Tribolium castaneum: one gene and its partner. Each later gene encodes a partner of the first gene's protein in a complex. Links are inferred from orthologs where the notes say so. Each region holds a gene or a part of one and is shown in the gene's direction. Other genes may lie near its edges.

Region 1 (3,927 bases):
AAACTGTGTGCACTTGATTTTTAGGCAGTGTACATGCAGAATATATTATCTTATTACAAGTTAAAAACGTTCAAAACGTAGAAGACATTTCATTTAATCAACTCGTAGATCACGAACTTACAATTTACAATCTAAAATCTGTAAGTGCCATTTTTGGGAAAGTTATACGTTTTGAAGATCCAGAAAGTAAAATTTTCGAATACATATCGTTTTGGTGTGTGGGCAATAATTACAAATATACAATCTGTATGTCCATTTGATACTTTCCTACACAACGAAAAATTTATTGTATAACTAGCTATACAACTAAATATTATCTTTCTGTTAAAGCAACACCGTACCTATAGACCACCAAATCTTTATTTTTAAAATCTAAATAAGCAGTCATGTGGAACGCCATATTTGTTAATACTACTGTATATTCTGCCAAGGCAAAACCAGAATATACTAAAATGCAGAAAATTAAAGGAGCATTAAAAAAAGTAACTACTTACCATAAGGCTCACAATATGAGTTGTGCCTTAAAAAGCAATACGTTGCTACTAAAATAGATGATATGTTTGTGATGAGTAGTCTTTTCTTCCATTTCAGACTTTCTTTGTGGCGCTTTTTACAACGTCTTTGGAGAATGTAAATTAAAATCATATAAAACTCCGACATCAATATAAAGGTGATGAAGGCTTTTTCATGAACAGCTAAAACATTTTTAACAAAATAAAGGGGAAAATTCTCGTAAAAAACGTTTACGATAGTGCTGAGATGAGGTCCAAAAAGACAGTATAATCAACGAAATGTTTTCAACAACATTAAGAACACATGCGACGGCCCCCATCCATTGGTCATTTTGGTATAAAACGTTTTGGTGGTGTTGGAGGTAAACAAAGGCAATCGAGAATCTTGGCACAGCATGTAAAACTATAGCCGTTTGCCAGACTTGTCGTTGTGGTGAAAAATTTCCGATAGCCGCAGAAATGGACGGTAAAACATTAAACACTTGACAATGGGTGTAAGTGGCGGTTTCGAAATGAAAAATCACCGAATAAATAATGCAAAACAGGAAAGCAAACAACGGCAAACCCACGGTTATAATCGAAAATTTTTCAAAAGGCAAACGCAAAACTGTGGAAGTTTCGTAATCACTGTATAGTAACGCATACCGAGCTTCATTAGGCATTATTCGAAACACACTTCGCTAGATTAGATTTAAAAACTCACTTAACTTAATTCATTTTAGGTTAGATCAGCTGTTTGATTTGTTGATTGTTCCATTGATCCGGAATCTCGCGAATTGAGACGAACACCAAATGGGCGTGGTTTTAGGTATTGAACGCGAAATTTTATCCCGAATTACACCAATTTATGATGTAAAATTATCCAAAATGAGCTATGGAAGTATTAAAAATTGATTTAGCACCCTTTTGGTACTTTTTTCGTCAGTTTTTCAACCTTTATTGATTTGAAACGCCTGTAAGTCAGTCAACCAAAAATACACCAATTTTGAAAAATCGACGCGCTCATCTTGTTTTTGATTTCAAATGTTTCTTAGGTTAGGTTAATTGTTTTTGACAAGTATTATCGGCAAAATGAGCGAATTTAAGCTCCAGCACTTGGTTGCGGAACTTTTGAACTGTTTGGGGTGCGTACACGTGTTGTTTTCGCTTCAAAAAACCTAATTCTTGTCCATATAGTGCAAAAAATCCCCCCGAAAAACTTGTAGAAGCGTTACAAAAAAGTATCAGCAGTAGCACCGGCAAGGAATGTTCAGGTTCACAAGTGGCAATACAGAGTTACGTGCAACGTATTGCCGAAGATTTGAAAAATTCGGAACCATTTCTACTGAAATTTGAAGATCTAAAGCAGAAAAAGTGAGGTCTTGTGACTGGTTGCATTTTAGTTGACGTGAAATTTCCAGTGTGGATTGTTTAGGGCCGTACGTTCAGCTTCTGTATCACATATCTCAAGATAGTAGTGTTAGAAGCTTGTTAGGTAAAATGGATAAGCATTCGGAGCAAAAAACCGAAATAACGCGGGACGATTTGCCACAAGTTAGGAATCGGTTACGTCGGGAGGCTTTAAAACGGTCGCAAAAAGAGTGTTCTTCAAGCAGTATTCTCAACACTAGTACTAATCTTCCGAGGGCTAGCACCCCTTCTGTTACGTCTTGGGTCCAGAGACGGCCGACTTTATCCTGCGATTTTTCAACGCAAAGTTGTAGTACTATTTGTCCAGCTGTTCCAGTTGTGTCTCAAGAAAACATCCTGATTAAAGATCTGTTAGTTGTATTAATTGGTATACCAGGCTGTTACATCGAAGCAGAGGAGCTGAATGATCCTTACGCCCCTAGAACCTTTAAAATAAACGATAATGTACCTCTGCCTCTGCAAGAACTTGTTAAACAAATCTTGCCTATCGCCAGTCATTATTCGCTAATCCAGAGGTTTGCCGAAGAAAAGTTGAGGTTTGAGTTTGGGCAAGTTAATAACGCCTTAGCTGAAGAAATGAGCGCGATTTTGAAAGAACATCTAGTAAGTTGAAGGCCACAATTAGCGACTTTGCAAAGTTGTTTTTCAGATTTATGTCACCCAACTTCAGGATGAATTTGAAGCTGATAACTTAAATTTGCAAAAACTTTGGTTTTATGTACAGAAGCGGTTGCAGCCTTTTGGCATTACAGCAAACATTGCGACTAAGATCAGCAAAGTAACTACGTGACAATTTATTTTTAAATTTAATTTGTAATTTATAGTCGGATGCCAAAGGGGGAAAAGTTTTAAGTTTGCTACATGATCACATAATTGGGTCAATTGGTGATGAAAGGACACAACAACGTTGTGTTAGTCTGATGGAGGCTGCGTGTGTTCCGTATATGAAAATGTTGGGAATGTGGATTTACAGAGGAATTATTTCTGATCCAATCAGTGAGGTAACATTTTTAAAAGAAAAAAAAATTGAGTAACACTCATACAAAAACGCTTGAAGTTTTCCAATACGTCAGCCCTCGAACTTTGTGTGTTGAGCTTGTGTTTTCGCACTCGTATTATTAATAACATAATAACTAATATTTAAAATGATAAAACAAAAAATACTTTTTATCTTTATTGAAAATTATTTCCAGAAAAGTATGTTTTTTAGTCGAAAAACATTTTTGTTTTAGGGTGAAAGTGATCAAAATTGATGCACTGCCATTCTGGATTTTTTTTTGAATAATTGTGTCGTTAAAAAAAAAGTCCCACAAATACTATTTGTTCGTCACTATTTTTTGGATATTTAAAGTCATTTGCTTGGCTTTGTTTACCAAGAAAATGAAGATAGAAGCGTGAAATATTATCTTTTGTCATGACTATTCATAAGCTGAGCTTTTAAAATTTCAACATCTACAATTTTTGTAAATAATGCCGTTTGTAAATGTTTAGCTTTAATTACTATTTATTTTCTGAAAAAAATGAACACTCTGATACAGATTTATTTTTACGATGAAAAAAAAATAATTAGAACAAAAAAAATACTGCCACAAATGCGTTTGTTTCTCACGATTTTTGGATATTTGAAGTCACCTGCGTGGTTTTGTTTACAAAGAAAAATAAAAAAAAAGTCTAAAGTACTGTTGTTTTTCTTATCTTCTTATAATTGTTTGGCAATCGAATAAACGGAATTTGGAAATATTTTGAAAATTGTTTTCATAATAATCGCGTAACAACTTTCTAATTAAAAAAAATGTGTGATTGATTAAAGCTGGTAAATAAAATGAACGTAATTATTAAGCTAGAATTCAAAGAAAAGCAGTTAAAACTTTTACTTCGACTTTTAGTTTCTGGTAAAAGACAATGAAGTCATCCAGAAGGAAGACATGCCGGTCGATTATTCAGCCGACTACTGGGATAAAAAATACTCAATAGAACGGGAAAAGATCCCGAAATTTTTAGAGCC
Region 2 (3,927 bases), on another chromosome or scaffold:
GCAAAGAAGTGCAAGAGAAATGAGAACCGTTTATAAATTCTGAAACTAACTTGAAATACTAAAATTGTTTTAATTATTTGAAACAATTTAAAGTAAACGTTATTTTAAAGATTGGAAAGGTCTTCGGCCATTCAATTTACGGTGAAGCATTGTAAAAACCCGCCCTAAATTAAATATCCTAATTAGATTTTGCGTCTATAAAGCCCCGCATTATTTTTAATACACGTTTTAAGTTCAGGAAATGGAATGAAATGCGTTTGATACCAAATAACGCACTTTATCGAAATTCGTTTTTAAATAACTTTTTCAGCAGTCTGAGCGTAAATGGGTTTGGTTTCAGAAGCCGCTGGGGAGCAAATCGAGTCACTTACCGGTACAGATGGTAAATCCAGGTTCCGGAGGCTGGAGTTGGTTGCAAAAGCACAACACGAAGACGACTTCGTATAGCTGGTGGCCTACGTTATATAGCACCTGTGGACGCGGCGGGCGCAGCCACTTTACGCTGCCACTCAGGTTTCGGGGGCGGCTTCAGGTTAGTGCGCCACTGATGAATCGGGTATTTCCCCTGAGAGCGCACTATTTAACGGAAAGATTAGCGATTTTTGCGTGTTGTTTGTCACTGATAGCGTAATTATCATCCAGCCGAGGGAGATTTGTTTGGTTTATAAATCGGAGCTAATCGAAACCTTTTCAATCATTAACGGAAAACATGTTAATAACCGGCGAGTGTGACGGGACCATATGTGGACGCGGTCTTTGTAAATTTCCGAATTTTATCTGATTAATGTACTTTGGGTTGTTTACGAAAAATACGTCTCCTGGCCGCAAATTACCAGCTGCGTTGGTCAACGTGATGGAGGTTTTATCTTTAATCTTGGATTATCTAACTTTTTATTTTTTCCTTCAAATATTCATGTTAAGTAAGTGGGTTTTTTCCCTTTAAATTAATCCACTAAGCCCCAAACGTCGATTTACCCTTTTTAATTGCCGCACTGCTTCTGCTACCCTTTTAACATCAACTTCACTTCTTCTTGAAACACCCTTGTTAAGGCTTTTGTCTAAATGCTTTTCATAAACATTCGGATCCCTCTAAGGCATCGCTTAATCTATTCGATTCTATTGGGTTTTCCTCATTTGACACCGACTTAATCACTGTTGTGTGTGAGCAGAATCTGCATAAACAACCACGCTGTTCTAACGAATTTTTCGACAAATTGCTAGGTAGCTAAAATTGTGATCCCTCTCGTGCGTAATTTGCCATTCGAGAAGTATATGAACTTCATATTTGAACAATTTTTTTGGGGCAGTGGAAATGTCGAATCATCGGTTGAATTTTAAAAAACATAAAAACAATATTTTGTCTCCATTGGAGCGTGTATTATTTACTTCCAGTAGTAAATAATATATTCCTTATTTTGGTGCGACGCAAAATTTAATAAATACTTTTATTATCAATAATTTTTTATAGTGTTGATAATTTTTAATTATAATTGATTAAGGATTTTAGACTTGTTTTTTATTTCTTATTTATAAAATTCATGTTATAAATAAACTGAGAATCACACGTCCAATTTCTACTCCATTCAGTTTTTTAAAGTAATAAAGTAGAAACGGGAGTAATTAATCTAAGTTTGTCTTACTCATTTTCTTGGTAGTAATAAAGTGCAGTAGTCATACCTGAACATAATACGGTTATTGCAGATATTTCCCATATCATCGCTAATTTTTTGATTAATGTATCTTCTGACATACACATCTACTAGAAATTGTTATAATGAACAATTCAAATCAGAAAAGTCTTTATTTGTTTCAACAGATGACACACTAAAATATAATTCCCGCTTAATTAAATGGACAAAACGCTGTATAAATTTGTAATTACGAGCTGTTAACCTCTTGGTATTTTGCTTAGTGGGTCAAAAGTTTTATTTTTATCTAATTAGCCGGAACAGTAAGGAATAGATATGACTGTACTCGTAGAAATGCATTCTTGTGAGTTTAAATGTAATTGCTCTATCTATTTTTAGGTAGCAAGATTAATAATACACGCTTTTTTACCAAGAAATTTTTCTTCTGAATTATCGTGGGCTGACTGCACAAAGTGACCATGTCAGAAATTAAACCTTTTCACGGCAAATTCAGTTTAAACATTAATAAAATACTTTTAATAATGAATTACAGAATAAACTCAAATAAACTAAATCGAAAAAAGAAAACTTTTACTAATTTGCAAAGTTAGAATTGACAAAGAGATTTCAATTTAATAAATTTTCTTTTTTTCAACCGTTTAGCGAATCCGTCTTTGATCGTTTTTTGGGCGTAAACCGTAAGACAGAGAATGACTTACTATTTTTTGTATCAAAATTCTCTACAACTACCTTTTGTACATTTTTCTTGCATCTTTAACCGCATTCCCAGCATTTTGAAAAATATTGTTAAGATTTGTTAATTTTTTTGTTTTTTTTTTATTTTTTAAACTTAAAATACCGAGTTTGAAACCGAGGCGGTCTAACGTGCCCTTGTTTTGAATCCGCTGTACTAAATTTTTCGGTACAGAAAAGTTTTGAACTTCGCTTCCCTCCCTAGTAATTGTTAGTTTTTCACAGATTTGGTCAATTTTTTAGGTATCTCGTAATTCACTCAAGTTTTATAACAATAATTACTGAAGTTAACGATTTGTGCATTTCGTATGTAAATGCAACAATTCGTATGAAATACCATTTCAAATAGTATTCTTTTGAAGCTGAGATTCCTTTGATTGTTTTGATACCGGACATCGATAACTCCCACATAGATTTACGGTGGAATGGAAGATCTGTGTCGAAATATAAAATTCCACTTAATTCTATAAGTATTGAAAAGACAGTCCACAATTTCATTTATAAAAAAAGCAAAGAAAAATGAATATTTTCAGCAGACATCGAAATCAAATTAATGCAAAGATAGTTTCCTGATATTCAAGTGAAGAATCGTATTTAAATAGTAATTAGCTTGTTTGCATATAAATCTCGCATTACATGACGCATTTCTGAAATTTATTATCAGGGGGTTGTAACTCTCCGATTTAAAACTGTAGGTAAAGTTTCATAAATCGTTATTTGTAAAATGTTAGTAGGTTACACATAAGCAGATTACAACAGCTCCAACCCGGAATAAAATAGTAGATAACTTCAGGGCTTATTGAAAGTGAAATATTTTTCCGCCTATAAATAATTTACCACGAAAGAGGGAAGTTTAAATTGCTCTTCTTCGATAAATTTTAAATAACGCAACTAGTATTTCATTTGACGTGTCTGTCACGGCCTTTCACATTCCAGTAAATCCGACAATGTCATCATCGTTCGGCACCGATTACGGTGATAAATTATCGTTCATAGCCGAATGGTTCGACTTCGATTCGGCCTACCAGAAGCGACTGCTCCTGAATTACTACCCCGTCGATAGCACGGTCGAGCTCTACGACATCGACCTCAAGCGCCCCTTCCTCAAGCGCTCCTTCTACGAGTGCATCAGCCGCGACGACGTCTTCGTGGGCAACAAGGTCCGCATCTACGACCGCCAGTTAAAAATCGTCGATTATGCCGATTGCCGCACCAAAACAATCATCGGCAACACGCGCCAGCACACCTTCGGCGTGATCAAAGTCAGCGTCATCGACAAAATCGGCGAGATTTTCAACCAAATCCAGGACCGCCACTTCGAAATCATCAACGTGCGGATGTGCCGCTTGAAGCAGGCCGAATGCTTGGAGCTGTACGACCACCTCCGCGGCTCCGCTTTCCTGCCCTTCGTGGTGGACCACATGACCTCGGGCCCTGTGGTGGCGCTCCAGCTGGTAGGGGACAACGCCATCGAGCGCTGGAAGGCCAACGTGGGCCCCACCGACCCCCTGGAGGCGCGCCAAACCGCCCCCGACACCCTCCGGGC

The links.
Region 2: gamma-tubulin complex component 2 (region 1) and nmdyn-D7 share a complex: the UniProt entries of both Homo sapiens proteins name them as parts of the gamma-tubulin ring complex. The link is inferred for Tribolium castaneum from reciprocal best matches to the Homo sapiens genes TUBGCP2 and NME7.

What each region holds. Positions count from the first base shown.
Region 1 is NC_087402.1:3,136,325-3,140,251, forward strand, and holds the start of gamma-tubulin complex component 2, read left to right. Parts: upstream 1-1,343; 5' UTR 1,344-1,467; exon of another isoform or gene 1,468-1,546; 5' UTR 1,547-1,583; coding exon 1,584-1,636; intron 1,637-1,688; coding exon 1,689-1,865; intron 1,866-1,912; coding exon 1,913-2,525; intron 2,526-2,571; coding exon 2,572-2,700; intron 2,701-2,746; coding exon 2,747-2,923; intron 2,924-3,808; coding exon 3,809-3,927. Other genes in the region: post-GPI attachment to proteins factor 2, read right to left, coding at 314-447, 495-695, 748-1,174. UniProt on the Homo sapiens protein: Component of the gamma-tubulin ring complex (gTuRC) which mediates microtubule nucleation.
Region 2 is NC_087396.1:11,133,159-11,137,085, forward strand, and holds the start of nmdyn-D7 (nucleoside diphosphate kinase homolog 7), read left to right. Parts: upstream 1-898; 5' UTR 899-913; coding exon 914-920; intron 921-3,317; coding exon 3,318-3,927. UniProt on the Homo sapiens protein: Possesses an intrinsic kinase activity. Displays 3'-5' exonuclease activity with a preference for single-stranded DNA. Does not seem to have nucleoside diphosphate kinase activity.